Linked DNA regions of Oryzias latipes. The protein of the gene in region 2 purifies or fractionates together with the protein of the main gene of each other region. This does not show direct contact. Links are inferred from orthologs where the notes say so. Each region holds a gene or a part of one and is shown on either strand. Other genes may lie near its edges.

Region 1 (4,960 bases), on a different chromosome or scaffold from region 2:
TATATAGAGTGTAGTACACAAATATATATCTGTACATATTCTTCAAAAAAAATCAAAGTATAAAACAACAATCAACCCAACATAAAACAATAAAGTAAAATATAAACATTATTTTGTCAGTAATGATAAGCTATTGAGACTACTCTAAGCTGTTATTACTTAAAAATCTAAGTGTTTTAAATGACTGTGTCGTCCCTGATTTGTGTGAAAATATTTGCGTGATACGTTGCGTTTGTTTCTTTAGTCTTACATTTTTTGACAGATGAATATTTTTTGTTGCGTTTCCCCCTCAGGTGTGGAAAACGGTGGGCTGGAGGCTCATCGCTCTGTCGGCTTCTCTTTACGGCGTGCTGTACCTGTACGAGAGACTCACGTGGACCACGAAGGCGAAGGAGCGAGCTCTGAAGCGGCAGTTTGTGGATTACGCAACCGAGAAGCTGCAGCTCATCGTGAGCTTCACAAGTGCTAACTGCAGTCACCAGGTCCAGCAGTAAGTTTCCACACGGCTTTGGCTTCTCGGGACATGATGCTTTTCAGTCGGCATGCAACAATTCACTCTCCCCACGATTCGGCTCAAACCTCGATTATCATCATTTTTGTTTTAACATCAAGGTTTTGTTTCAGTTTGAAATGGGATTTTGTAAATTACAAAAAAAAAAAAAAACATGTTGAAAAGTCAATTTATTTAATACGCTTATAAGCAAGTAACACCTTCCAGTTGTACTAAGGCTGATGTAACAGCGTTAAATTTGGCATATTCACGTGTTTGACACTTTCAATATAAACATATGTAAACATATACAGCGGTGATGCAATGACTCCTTTTCCCCACAATTCAGTGTAACAAATAGTTTGGTTTTAAATGGAAAATCTTTACTTTTTAATGTAATTTTAATCATATTTGTCATTTTTTTTGCTACTTTACGATTCCTGATCATTTTTTACCCGTTTATACCCGTGTTTTAGGGTATCTTTATAGGATTATGTTATTATTGATTTCATTATTTTGTTTGGATTTTAATTCCAGTCACTTGAGTCTTTGTTACATATCGATGCAAACCTTCACACACACACACACAAACACACACGCATGCGCACAAAGCTCATCCCCTGCCGTCCCTCTCTTCTGTATCCGAGCTAAATAAATAAGTAGAATGACAATGTGCCTTCTGTGTTGCCAGGGAGATGGCTACGACCTTTGCTCGGCTCTGTCAGCAGGTGGACCAGACACAGAAAGAGCTGGAGGCAGACATCCGTCAACTGACAGACAAGATAGATCAGATGGAGAAGGTCCAGAGTCGCTCAAAGAGCCTGCGGTCAGTACAACTCCTTAAGTCACTGAAGGATCTCTACAATCTGTTGTGGGAATTCTCACAATATTTTATGCCTTGGATCATAAGTGAGTCATAATGCCAGACAAAGTATCCATTTACTGAAATTCATGGACTTTGCGGAAGCAACCGTCCGATGTCCATGAATTTCTGATGGACACCTCGAAGGACAGCATCCCGTTTATACCATGGTCACTTATGAAAGAAATCCCTTTTCACAATAGGGGGACTATTTGATATGTGATGTGACGTGTTGTCATGGTAACGACTACAGAGCCTGCACCAACCTCACTCTGCCGCAGCAGGTGTATAAAGACTAACCTAGGAAGTAAAGTAGTATGTAAGATAAATCTCATGTTAAAGACCCACTCTGATCATCTTTTGATCTATTTTCAAAGTGCCCCCCAGTGGTTTTAGGGTTAAACTGTTTTTAATCCAAAAGCTTGTCGTTTTCTAGGACATCATTTACACAGAGCGGCAGGACTTTATTAAAAATGCGCATCTGAGATATGGGCGGGACTGTTGGCACAGAGTAACCCCGCCCCCTTACTGTCATCCATCTGTTTACATGCTCTCCCGCTAACTTACAGCCCCTCAAACCCCCAACCTAACATTACCGGAGGCACAAAAATGGCGAGGAGCTATCCGGCCGTACAGTTTTGAGCCAGAAACCAACTCAGACGAGGAAAACAAAGACGGCCATGGATCTATTTGTCTGCAGTTGGATGTGGCCTGCCAAAGTAGTTCCTAAATAACCAACATCATCTTTTTCAAACAGCATTTTTTCATCCGCTCCACAACAACACGATAAAACACCATTTTCATCAGAGTGGCTCTTACGAGTGATACAAGCATCATTTCAGAGGGAAACTTTGGCTCAGAATGCTTGTTATTACCCGATGATGAAGCAAACAAAGTTCACAAGCAGTTTCCTTGATCGCTTTTACTGCAAGAAATATCCCCCATTAACTCTGATAAAATGAATAACAACATTCTTTTAGTAATTAATAATGAACTAATTTATAAACATGGGTTCACTCTGAATCAAGACAGACAACAAATGACTTGATTTAAAGGCAACATTGCTGTTGGGATAAACTGGAACAACGAATGTCCACTCGTGTTGTGAGTTTCCGTTGGTCCCTTAACCAGCTGGTGCTTATACCAGCTTAGTTATGTAGAGCATTCAGGCTACTTCTTTATGGGTATCCATGATTACTTTCTATTCACCCATACCATGGTATAGATGACTATAATGATCCTTTGATTAAACTGGGTCAATTTTGTTTTTGTTTTCTTTTGCATTGCAGGCATAAAGCGACAGAGCTGGAGAGACAACTGGAGGAATTTACACAGCAGTACCTGCAGCCACAGGAGTGAAGATGCTCCATCTCCTCCCTCGGCTCTTTGGCTCTCATGGAGCTCCTCATTCCTCAGATCAGAGCCCCGCTTACAAATCTTTTACAAAAAAAAAACTACAACACCAGAAAACTCAACAACAAAAAAACATTTCTACACATTGGAATGCAGAAAAACAAAACTACAATCCCTAAATATGATAAGTCTGGTTTCAATTGTTTCTGTTTTTTTTTTTTTCTTTTCCATTTCAATAAAATACAAATAATCTGTAATGTTGATTAAAAGAATCTTAATTTGATGTGTTTCTCAGCCCCTCAGTCATGAAACTGCGATGCTGTATTTTCACGTTAACATGCTCTGGCACTCATTTTCAGTATGGTTCTTTCAGATTACCTGTTAAAGAACACATTAAGATGGCATGTTTGCTCAAGTATTTGCCTCCAAACATCAACTGCCTGAACAGAATTTCACAATAAAAGCATTTATTAGAAAACCCCCAAATAGATTTTAGGTTTAGCAATCAAATCTGATGCTGCATTTTTAACAACCTTTCAAATATTTTGTAATATTATATTTATATGTTCTATAGTACAACAGTTGGGCCCGATTATTTTGTAATCTTTTTTTTTTCTTCTCTTGAACAAATGTGGAAATACTCCCAGAATGTAATAAATGGTTCTCAAACAAAGTGCGTGCCTTCATATGAACGTTCCAGCCCACCGTGCTCGTGTTAAACGCCTCTGACTTCCTGAAAAAACACAAAAGGGAGTTGTGTGTTGGATGCAAATCCATCAAGCCGCATATTACACCTGTAAAACGTGTCATGCATTTTCTGCACGCTTTCAGATTCTAAATAATACCAACAGGCATGAAAACTCTTTGTTAAAGTTTTTTTTGTTTATTGGTCACAATAACTCATGGCAACATACCAGTATCACCAAGCCACTGTACAAATACAAAAAAAGGGTTTGGTGTGAAAAGGACTATAAAAATTATTCCATACCAAGTGATTATAATTTCACACAATAGCACTGTAAAAGAATTATATGGCACCAAAGTCCCTGGTCTTTACTGGCAAAAAGACACTAAAAATAAAAACAGAACAGTAAGTTGTAGGAGGCAAAAGACGACAGTTCTGTGATGGCAGCCGTGCGGTTCACAGCGAGCGTTCAGGTTTAACTCGAGGATGGAGAAAGTCACAGTAAACTGCAGAAACCAAGCAGCAACCACCAATCCAGTCATCTTTACTGATCCACATTCACTTAAACTGTCACTAAAATCAATTGATCTGACTGATTTTAGAGAAAAACAACAAGAACTGGTGGAGCAACAAGGTGAAGGAAACACCTTCGTCAAAGCACCTCTCTTTGATTTTAGAGTTTACTTGCGTTAGTGAACTGCACAGGCACATGTGTTTCTATTCCAGGCTCCAGCGGCTGATTTACACAGAGCGACATGTTAGCCTGCTAAACATCACGGTCTCCCTCTCCTTCTCTTAAGGACTACGGTGTTTTGTGGGTTTTTCACAAAGTTCTGCAAACATGGAAGCTGGAAAAGGCTGGGTTCAGTGGAACAGTTCAACATTTTAGGAACATTTCAGTGTTAAAGGATACAATCCTTAAGTTATGAATTTAGGTGTGGTAGCGGCTAAAACTTCCTTTTTTATTTACAAGAGTCAAATGTTTTGAAATAGGATGCAGTTACTGATGAAACAAAAGAATTTTGGTGCAGAATTTTCTTGAATGAGATCATAAAGGAGCCCCTGACAAACTAAAGCAATGTGGGAATTTCCAACATGTGCAGATGACAAAGTCTTCTAAGCAATAACCTCATTACAAACTCAAATTTAATCCAGCTTGAAGTGTTTTATAAACATCAACAGTACGCTTTTTTTCAAATAGTATATTCAGCATTCTGGGGTGGGGTTGTAATTCTGGCATCAGGGTGGTATACAGCTCCAATTTAAAATGCAAAAAAAATGTATTTTTTATGGTCAAATTTTATGATGCCAAGCAAATCAAAAAATCAACACCTCTTTTTTTAAAACTTTTTTTTTTAACTCAATGTTTCTTTGGGAATCTTCCATCAGGAAGTGAATGCGTCCCAAAATGATGTAATGTTCCATTACAAACCATCCCACTGCACCTTTTTTGTCATCTGAACCTGTTAGGACAGGAACATCTGCTGTCCTCCCACTGAAAGAGGAAATGTACGGAGCAAGCACTGCCTGGATGGGGATCGGGGGGCAAACCACAATTTTTGTTTAGGCA
Region 2 (5,611 bases):
ATGATGGGGTCGGCGTGGATGGAGGGGGTTCTTGCGTGGGCTCTTGCTGATACGGAGGCTGGCCTTTGTTTTTGTCCATCAGTAAATCATCCTGCATGGTTTGGGAAGCTGCAACGGGAGGAAACAGACACGGGCTGTTAATGTGGCCGGAGCGGAGGTGAGGAGCTCAAACACCGGGCTGGGGACAACTCCGACACCGAGATAACGTTTGGACCGGCCGGCTGCAAGCCGAGCGCTGATCGTCCATTTATCCGAAAGCAGAACAAACGGCCTCTTCCCGAGACCACAGCGCCCAGCAGGAACCCCTCCAGCCGAGCGAGGCGACTGCGGCTGATATTCACCAGATTTCGCCACGTCTCGTTTTTCCTTCCACGCAGGAACTCCAGGGCTGCAATGTGAAACTGGTCGTCCTCTGCCCTCCAAGCGCCTCCCCTGCTCTCATTTCCATACGTCAGTAAATACAGCTGTCCTTCCACAAGGTGAAAAGGCGCTTTTGCTCTGACATGACATGAGCGACCACTGGACCTTTCCTGCTGGAAGCGGACACCTCGTTCCGTTTATTTCCCTTTAACTGAAAACTGCGCAACTGGAAAACTTAGGGCTTTTTTTGTTTGCTGTTTCCTTACATTTTGGGCAGATTCGGTGAATAAGAATCACCACAACTACCGGAGGTCTCACCGAAAATAAATCCTCACGATCATCTGTCCGATTTTTCTTATTGCGTAAAATGAGACAGGACCGCATTCCCACTGATCCCATTTCCCCTCGTGGAACAGAGTGTCCCTCGCCATTTCAACCGATATAAACCTAAGGATCACAATATAGTGCCACTAGAAAAGTCTTTATTCTCTATAAACACAGAAAAAGGACTTAGTTTGCAGCATAAATGTGCTCCTTGTGCGTTGCTTCGGCTCAACGCCTTGCGTAAATCCAGCGCACATTCTGCAAATATGCCGCAAGTTAGGTTAGATTTACAGACTGAATAAAAAAACAACAACATTTCTAGCTGTTGAGAATAAGAAATACTCAAAGCACACAGTAACATGTGTCATTTGAACTAGTTTTAGAGGCACAACAATAAATCAAACTCTGCCTGGCCAATGATCAGCAAAGATTTGACGACAATTTAAAGCTGTGGTGACACTGAAACAAGCATCGTTTTCAGGCCTTTTAATAGCACGGATGTTTTCAATCAATACTCCACGTGTGTCAGATCATTTTAACAACATAATCGAAATAAAAAAACAACCAGCAGGACTTTCAATGAAACACTCGCTGCACTCAGCCCACCGGGGAATTCGGTGTTTTCTCCTCCAAGAGAAACGCTTCCAAGGTCATGGACGCGGGAGACTGAGCTGCCTGGGGGGGCTCCCCTCTCTGGCCTTTTCATCACACACCCTGACCAAAACAGCTGACACTTGAAGCAGCTAGTGTGGTCGAGACATCCCCGTTTACATGACACGATGTTGCCGTGAAATCCCTCTTTGATATGTCCTGTAAACGTCAGAACAGCATGCACGCGCGGTGACGTCGCCCCTCCGTTAAACTGCCATTACCTTTATCGTTCACCTTTCTGAGACTGTGAATAAAGCTACTTCTCCACGCCTCGTCGGGCTTTGGATTTCACAAACGAGCTGCCCTGGTGGTGCCGAAGTAGTCAGCAGTTGCCTCAACAGCTGATTGACTGCAGCGCATGGATAATACCGAGGTGGCTGATGGGACTTGTAGTTGAACGGGACTTGTAATGACAGCACCAGTTATTCAAAAAGGTATTTAATGTTTTAAAATTGGTGTAAGGCTTGTATTTAAAGTCTGAATTAATTTATGAAATAAGACGTGAAATTTCTTGTGAAAAAACGTCAGGTAGGAATTATGTGGTCTCCGTTCTTGCGTAACGGAGATCCGGACGCAATTATTGAAAGAATTCTTATTTTTGTCTTCATATCCTGGCGTATATAGCAGAAAACCTCTAAAAATGTAAACATAAATATTTTTAAACTAATATGTTTGCTAAAAATCGTAGTAAACAAACTTATGTCTTTATTTTTAAAATTTTCCAGCTAACTTCCGTTTTGGGCTTATGTTGATGACGTCAGACACACGGTACCTTACGTTACCTCAGAGACGGCCAGTCAATGGAGTCAAACGGTCACGCAAACGAGGCCGTAACAGGTTTAAAAAGGATTTCTACCCGGAATAGCACATAGTCCGTAGATCGTTGCTATTCGGATAGACATGACTATTAGGCCGTAGATAATATTGTTGTTGGACTGCGGCTGACGCGGGAAACCAACGCACGAGCCCGTGCGGCTAACCAAGCTAGCTAACCGAGTCATCAGGGGCTGGATTTCGAGTAAATGTATGTTTACTGCAGTTAAATATTGACAGCAATAGGGAGAATTTCGACCCCACATCCCCACTACAATGGCGGAAGAGGCTGCAGTGGTCGCGCAGCAGAACCTGGACAGGTGAGTTCCAGCAACAACACGCTGCCCCCCCCCCCCCCCCCCGCGTATGTATACTGATGCTATCTGAAATAATAGCTCATTGCTATGAACGCACATTTCTGTGTCTCGTACTGTATAAACACTTAACAGAATCCAAATAAAGACCTCTCTCATTAACCAAACATTATACAGTACTACTATAGTATTAAAACATGATAATTGAGTTTTGGTACTTGTTCAGGAGGAAAATGCTTTCAGTTCTGAAGTGATTCATTGTTTGTAAGTTTATGCATATTTGTGAGTCCCTATGAGGATCTTTTGATTTATTGTAAAAGTCTTCCCAATGACCTTTTGAATTAGGATTTTCCAGTTTTTAGCCAAAATGATCAAACCTGTGTTGTTTTTATAGGACATAGTTTCTGCAGAGCAGCAGGAGTTCATCAGTAATTTGCCTCAGAGTGAGCACGACTTTTGGCGTGGAGCAAGCCGCTCCCCTTCCCGTCACCCAATATCTGAGCTCTCTATTTACACCCTCCCCCGCTAGCGTTCACCAGCATTACAACCCCAACCTAACATCAGCAGTGCAGCAGAAATGACGAGCAATGTCAGATCTATCCAGGCGTCCAGTTCTGATCCAGATTCCAGCTAAGACCAGGAAAACAAAGACCTTCATGAATCTATTTGTCTGCAGGTGGATGATCAGAATGGAGCAGAGCAGGAAGCTTAAATCCTGCCCAGCAGATTCTCTACATCACAAACAAGCTCCTTTTCCAACTGCATATTTTTGTCTGCTCCTGATTTATAATGATTTAAATAAAGAAAACCTCAGAAATGCGTTTTTAAGCTTATCAGAAAAATACCACAAGAACATGTTAAAAATGACATTTTCATCAGACTGGGTCTTTAAACGTTTGTCAAATTAGCTGTGTCATTAGCAAAGAGCGGCTGTTGCCCCCAGGTGTACCTGAGGACACAAGCTGCTCTACTAAGAGAGGTTAGTGGGCGTCTGCCCCAAGAACCTGTGTTAACAGCGTGACATCTGGAAATGCCCGGTCCATTTGTGTTGTTTTTCAACCGGTGTGGCATGGCCCACTAGTGTGCCGTGGGAGATTGTCCTCATTCACTGATCTAAAAACATTTCCCATCTCCAGGATTTCAGCTCTGTGTTCATCCAAACAGGTCCTGATAAAACACTGAGTAGTTAGGAATATGAAAGATCGTAAAATACTTTTTCTTTGTGTTCATTTGATTCTATAAAAGACATTTTGATAAGAATGACGGTACCGCGATTTAGCCGCTGCAGCTCTGTTTTATGAAAAGTCCCGCCCCTTTAACTGTCTCCACCAATCATTCTTGGAGGCTTAATCACACGTCATCAGTCTGACCAATCAGAAGTGGTTAAATTCTTCACTTCCTTCTTCAGATTCTGTTCATAAAGTCTCTCAGTTCTAACAAAAATACCAGCTAAAGCTCGTCTTTAGCGGTGTAGCTTTCCACAGAATCCGGTGTCAGACCGTGGAACAAGTGAACAAAACCATGAAGCTCAGAGATGCGAGTCTCTCTGCCCTCGGCGGCAGTTTCACACTACATCTCCCATGATGCATTGGGTTAAAGTGACAGCTCCTCAGCGCACAATGTGAACAGGCTGCCAGTTCACACCTACGGTCCCTCTGACCATCACCAGGACGTTCATGCACATTTATACTCCAGTGGAGCCGCACTGGAGCTACTGCCTGAGCCACTGCCGCCCCATTTCACGAAGCAGTCTTTCCATCAAATCCCTCTTTTAGTGACCCAGTGAACACCAGAACTCTTTGTAAGGCTGTAGGTATTCTAGGTTCTTATTTTCTTAATCTTGGTTGCATCGTTTTTTTGACCTGACTTAAAGGCCACTGGGCGGTCAATGGTGTCAAAAAGTTAGGGACTTGGATATCAATTTATTGAATAGAAATTCTTCTTTTGATAGTCAATAGTATTGATGTAAATCAGTTGGGGCCTGAAAGCGCTCTTCAAACTAGATAACCAGCCGTGCCATGATGTAGAGTGAGTTGAATGTCATGTAGCACCTACGTCTAACCACACACCGATGACGCTCCCCAAGCATTTCTGTGCACAGACAGGACCCCGAGGCCCACAGCACTGACAGAATCTGATAAAGGCTTATACAAGTCATTTCTGGTTGCACATTCTGTCAATATTGAGCTTTGAAATAATCTTTTAAGCATTAAAAGAAAATGCATGTGCCTCAGCTGCGTATTGCAGGTGTGGGGCAGAGCTCCCCTTTGTGTACAGGAAGCTGATAGTAGTGAGGTGTACGCCACGTACACAGTTGTGTACCCAGACTATCGGTGGCAAACAGACGGCTCTTATCTGGGCTGGCTACCAGCTGCCACTGCAATGCAGTGTTTCACAAATGTGTGAGGGAGACATTTGATCCAGTCTGAACTCTAACTTACACAACGGTTCACCACATTCCTTATTGCTGAAAAGTCTCCCTTTTCTCTATGAATTGTCAAGATCTTTTTGCAAAGGAACCTTTTTAAAGCACTGCTGGATTTTGTCATGTGTCCATTAATGTTGGACCACTGACCCATTGACCTAAGTTATTTTTAAATAGATTTGACTCGTCTGCTGGTGCTCATGAAAATGCTTTTGCTTTTTACTTTTAAAGTTTAGAAAAAAGCTGCTTTATTTCATGTATCTGTCATAAAGTGAGCGTTGGACACAAACATTACTGTATTTACATATTTACAGTATAGACATATAAGTTACTCGTTTGAAGGTTCCCTTGTTCAGAATTCATTTTATATATTCATATATATAAATTAGGGCTGCACGATATGAGGAAAACACGTGATATACAATATTAGTAATTAATATTGCGATAACGATATAATTTGCGGTATATAAAAAAAATAGAAAAATGCCAAAAACATCATTCCCATTTCATTAGAAACAGTTTAAAATTACACTCCAAATGACCCTCATTGACATAGGTGACAAACATCTAACATAATAGGCCTCCATCTGATTGGTAAACAATGGGAAGGCGTCCATCTGATTGGTCAAAGCATAAAGGGATTTATTTGATGCGTTAAATGCTTCAAGCTGCCATAAGATTGTTTTAACACATTTTGGGTTTACGATTTATTGGGATATTCGCA
Region 3 (5,017 bases), on a different chromosome or scaffold from region 2:
GTTTCCTGATGCTGTGGTTGAAGACCAGCTCACTGTGGCGCTCACTTAGGAGACATTTGCTCCAGTTTATGGGCTCAGGTGTGCCTGTGCTGAAGACATGCTTCTTCCTTCCTCTGCTGCCCTCTCCTGTCTTCGTCTGATGAAAAGCTGAAAGTCATTCTCACCCTCTGACACCTCCCTCCCCCACCTACCAGCTCCCTCACCAGGGAGGCGGGACTATGTCAGGAGAAGGTGAGGAAATACCAATGAGTTAAGTCGCTAGAGGAGACACAACCGCTTGGGAAGCCTGGCCACCGGTGGCGGAGCGTGACGCCATCTTGGTGAGGTCGACGGCGCCCACATGACAATGATTTCTATAGCCTTTGGTGGCATCTTAGTAGCTTTTATCTAATTTATATATATATATGTAGGTTTATACATATATAAATAAATTATATATTATACATATAATATTTATACATATACATCATTTGTTGTTGTTAAAGAAGAGAAACTGTCAGCCTTATAAGCTCCAACTTTAATGAAAAATGCATATTTGCAGGACTTATTGAAAAAAACATTATTACAAAGAATGTTTAAAAATGATTTTTAAACATTTAGAAGTTTTAGACCTCTTTGACATGCAACTTAAATTATTTAGAAAAGCCCAACAATAAGTCAATAATAATACATAATAATAATAAATTAATAAAACGTCAAATAATAATAATAAATCAATAATAAGTCAACAATAGGGCAAAATGTCAACAACAGGTTTACCCTAAAAAAGAAAAAGAAAAACAATAGATTTACTGATTCATGTGAGTCATCAATTTGGTGTAACACAGATGTTATGGTGTCGGGTTTCAAGCCAACAGTCTGGCCTCTTATCAAAATCTGTTTCCACCAAATCTTTTGAACATAACCAGACTGTATTACTAGTTGGTACCACAGTGATCCATCTGGGTTAACTCTTTTTATTGCTAAGGCCAACTTTTTCCTGAAGTCTGAATCCATTGGAAACCTGCAAGAAAAGTTCAGTCACTGAGTCAGAAATGTATATTTCTATATTACTGTAATAGCCTAGTCCTAGTATACTGTATAAAGGTTTAACAAAATAAAGTTTACTTTTATGTTGACAGCAAATTATCCGTACATCATGCAGCATGTTGATAAAGGCCCTGCAGCATCATGCATGTCAGCATGTGTAATATTAATGAAGCCCCTGCAGCATTAAAAGAAAACAATTATCGTACCTACATGTGAAATGTTATGCCTTCCTCCTTCGTGGACTCATTTCTCTGATTTTGTCAGTTGGAATTTTGCATTAAATGTGTTCACATGCAATGAACTGCAGCAGTGACTTGACCTCACCAAGATGGCGGTGCTCTCCTCCCATGAGGAACCACGTGATGTCTCCTCTAGCGATAGAACTCCTTGGGTAATACAAATAAAACCAGCAAGATGGTTTTATTTTAAAGCCACAGCCCGCTTTAAAGACCCACTCCAGTGAAAATGATGTTTTTGGACTTTTTAGCATGTTGTGGTATTTTTCTGATAACTGATGCTTGAAAGAAAGAAAGTTCACATTAAAATGGCATTTCTGAGTATTTCTCCATGATTGTCAATCAGGAGCAGAGGAAAAAAGGCCGTTTGAAAAGCATTGTATTTGTGACGTAGTTAATCATTGGGGTACCACAGCGTACTACAGTTTTTAATGTTGATTTCACTCTGAAATAAAAATCTACACACAATTTGCAAAATTCTACTCCAAAGAGCAAAACACTGCCATAGATTAGCACAACATTACACACAATGTCTGCGTCACTCTTCTTGCACAACATTACACACAGTAATCTGTGAAACTAAACAAACATTTCAACACAGATAAGGATTGTGTGCTTACTTCCTGGACATTACAAAGCCCAGGATTGCCAATGACCACACAAATGAATGAATTGGATCCTCACATCCACAAGGTGGGAAAGCACACGTGCTAATTTGAACACACAATCGTCAATGTGCCGGGGCAGCAAGGGGGTAACAACACCTTCTGTGCTGCTACCACACAAAATGGGTCATCCACCACCGCGCAAATCTGGAACCCTATCATGCAGATCTAGTGCTTGTATTTCTTGACAGATTGTACACGAATGTCACAGCATTAAACCAAGTGGACCAGATGCAGGACATTGTCGTTCCGTCAGCTGCTCTGGTCCACAATTGGTTCCATCCTCTCCCTGAATTTGGAGTCCTCTACCTTCCCCCATACCCCCCCCCCCCCTTCCTGAATCCAATGGAAGAGGTTTTTCAACATGGCAGTGAAAGGTATACGACCTGCAGCCATAAGACCGTTTGCCCCTCATTCAGGCCATGGAGCAGGCATGTGATTCTTCACTATGTGAGGGATCATTCTACCAGGTCGGTGAAATGATCCCTTACGTCTGACCAAATTTCCTAAAATGGTTTTTTTTTACAGTTGTGTTTTTTATTTATCACAGCAGTGTGAAACTGTCAGCAATAGTGTTTGATCCCTGAGGACCGTCATGGTTAAATAAAAACTAGCGACATTTTCACAAACATGTATGTTTTACTGAAATGTGTCATTTTGCAAACAGTCTAGGAATTCTGCAAATTGAGTGTTCTGTTTGGATCATTGTGATTTATATTTTGAGAAATGGAACCTGGTTTGCAAAATTGTGTGTAAACAATTGAAAAAACTGTAATTACGTCTCAAATACGTCTTTGTTTTCCTGGTCTGAGCTGGAATCTGGATGTAAACTGAGGAGCTGGATAGCTCTGATATTGCTGCCATTGTTGTTGCACCATCAATGTCAGCTTTGGGGTGTGAGGGCTGTAAGCTAGTAAACTCATATTCAAACTCAACTTTATTTGTTAGGCACTTCTCCTGGTACAAAGCATCTCAAAGTGCTCCCCATAATAAAATAGATATTAGTAAGATCAAATGTAGTAGGGGTCTGGAATCACCCCCGTTTCTACAGACCAGATTAACAGCTAACATTCCAGAAGAGGTTAAAATAGTCGAGAAAACTGATCCACTCTGATCAAAAGATGATCATTGAAAGTTACTCCTGCTCTCAGATCCAGGTACCGTTGTTTTAGCTGGAGGGAGGGGTCTCCTGCTCACACTTTGACCTCTAAGGTGAAAGGAGAAGCAGGCGAGGGGATGCACTGCAGCTAAGCTGTCTCATTTCCGCTCTTTAGGACCAGTAATGGGAAAAGCACAGTCATCAATGCCATGCTGTGTGACAAAGTCCTGCCATCTGGAATCGGACATACCACCAACTGCTTCCTGAGGGTGGAGGGCACAGACGGCAGTGAGGGCTTTCTCCTCACCGAGGGCTCGGAGGAAAAGAAGAGCATTAAGGTGAGTCTGTTGGCGTCATTCATGCTGGCTGCCATGGTGGGGCCTTCCCAGTGACACTCCTGTCTGTGTCAGACGGTCAACCAGCTGGCCCACGCTCTCCATCAGGACCAGGACCTGGACGCTGGCAGCCTGGTATGCGTCATGTGGCCCAAAGTCAAGTGTGCCCTGCTCAGAGATGACCTGGTACTGGTTGACAGGTCAGTTGTTGGCTTGTGGAATGTGACAGGAGGTGGTCTGAGCTGACCCGTCTGCCCTCACCCCCCCAGCCCAGGGATCGACGTGACCACCGAATTGGACAGCTGGATCGACAAGTTCTGCCTGGATGCGGACGTGTTTGTTCTAGTGGCAAACTCTGAGTCCACCCTGATGCAGACGGTGAGACGGTCAGACCCTCTGCCAAATGGCCCATGGTCCCACGGAGCTAACTGTGTGTCTGTCTGCAGGAGAAGTCTTTCTTCCACAAGGTCAACGAGCGTCTCTCCAGCCCCAACATTTTCATTCTCAACAACCGCTGGGACGCCTCAGCCTCTGAGCCCGAGTACATGGACGAGGTTAGTTCCCCTCATGGAAGCCTTTGTTGCCTGGCAACTGACTCCAGCTTTAACTATAGAGGTGGAGAGAAAGTTAAGTTTGAAGCAGATTTCGTCCCGTGTAGATTAAGTGGACGGAGAATCAATGTATGCAACAACAAAAATGACATTTCAAAAGTGTGTGTGTGTGTGTGGATGGATGCATGGATGGATGGATGAGTGGATGGGTGGATGGATGGATGGAAGGGACGATGCATGGGTGGATGGATGGGTGGATGCATAGATGGATTGATGGATGCATGGATGGATGGATGCATGGGTGGATGCATAGGTGGATGGGTGGATGGATGGATGGATGGATGGATGGGTGGATGAATGGATGGATGGGACGATGCATGGGTGGATGGATGGGTGGATGGATGGATGGGTGGATGAATGGATGGATGGGTGGATGCCTGGGTGGATGGATGAATGCATGGGTGGATGGATGGATGGATGAGTGGATGGATGGATGCATGGCTGGATGCATGGCTGGATGGATGGATGGATGAATGGGTGGATGTATGGATGGATGCATGGGTGGTTGAACGGTTGGATGCATGAGTGGATATTAGGGCTGGGCGATATGGCCTAAAAATAAAATCTCCGATTTTATTTTCTTTAATTCGATTTCCGATTTTTTCCCGATTCCCCCCCCCCCCCCCCCCCCACCCTACTTAAGGAAAGCAATAAGTACAAACAGACAAGTTCAAGCAAATGTTGCTTTTTATTTAATCAAATGCAAGACAAATGTAACCCCCATTTCTGAGATGAATAATAAATAAATGAACACGCTCTTGGAATCAAAGTTAAGTATAAGATTTTTCTTCTTACTCCCTTTTTGGACTTGTGTTTAAATAATTGTGTCTTGTTTTATATAACTTTTGTCTTGTTTTTGTCTTATTTCGTTATTCTAAACTTGTTTTCACTTGTCCAAAATAAAAAGGCTACTTCCTTACTTAAAGTCCCAGCTGGGTTTTGAGTCACACTTTGTAGTCTAGACTTAAAGGAGACAAACATTCACCTTGACAGCAGCACCATTTTCTAAAGCAGTGTTTTTCAACCAGTGTGCCGCGGCACA

What was found. The genes of interacting proteins can lie anywhere in the genome.
Region 1: the proteins of march5 (region 2) and mfn1 purify together in Homo sapiens (affinity purification with western blotting; 4 studies listed by BioGRID, with this or other methods). This does not show direct contact. The link is inferred for Oryzias latipes from reciprocal best matches to the Homo sapiens genes MARCHF5 and MFN1.
Region 3: the proteins of march5 (region 2) and mfn2 purify together in Homo sapiens (affinity purification with mass spectrometry; 5 studies listed by BioGRID and IntAct, counting the BioPlex papers as one, with this or other methods). This does not show direct contact. The link is inferred for Oryzias latipes from reciprocal best matches to the Homo sapiens genes MARCHF5 and MFN2.

What each region holds. Positions count from the first base shown.
Region 1 is NC_019862.2:9,071,942-9,076,901, reverse strand, and holds the end of mfn1 (mitofusin-1), read left to right. Parts: intron 1-293; coding exon 294-490; intron 491-1,181; coding exon 1,182-1,316; intron 1,317-2,641; coding exon 2,642-2,711; 3' UTR 2,712-3,378; downstream 3,379-4,960. UniProt on the Homo sapiens protein: Mitochondrial outer membrane GTPase that mediates mitochondrial clustering and fusion. Membrane clustering requires GTPase activity. It may involve a major rearrangement of the coiled coil domains.
Region 2 is NC_019873.2:3,259,814-3,265,424, forward strand, and holds the start of march5 (E3 ubiquitin-protein ligase MARCH5), read left to right. Parts: upstream 1-2,105; 5' UTR 2,106-2,424; coding exon 2,425-2,468; intron 2,469-5,611. Other genes in the region: cpeb3 (cytoplasmic polyadenylation element-binding protein 3), read right to left, coding at 1-108, 1,291-1,390. UniProt on the Homo sapiens protein: Mitochondrial E3 ubiquitin-protein ligase that plays a crucial role in the control of mitochondrial morphology by acting as a positive regulator of mitochondrial fission and as an important regulator of immune response.
Region 3 is NC_019865.2:32,486,362-32,491,378, forward strand, and holds part of mfn2 (mitofusin-2), read left to right. Parts: intron 1-3,204; coding exon 3,205-3,367; intron 3,368-3,439; coding exon 3,440-3,564; intron 3,565-3,633; coding exon 3,634-3,742; intron 3,743-3,810; coding exon 3,811-3,918; intron 3,919-5,017. UniProt on the Homo sapiens protein: Mitochondrial outer membrane GTPase that mediates mitochondrial clustering and fusion. Mitochondria are highly dynamic organelles, and their morphology is determined by the equilibrium between mitochondrial fusion and fission events.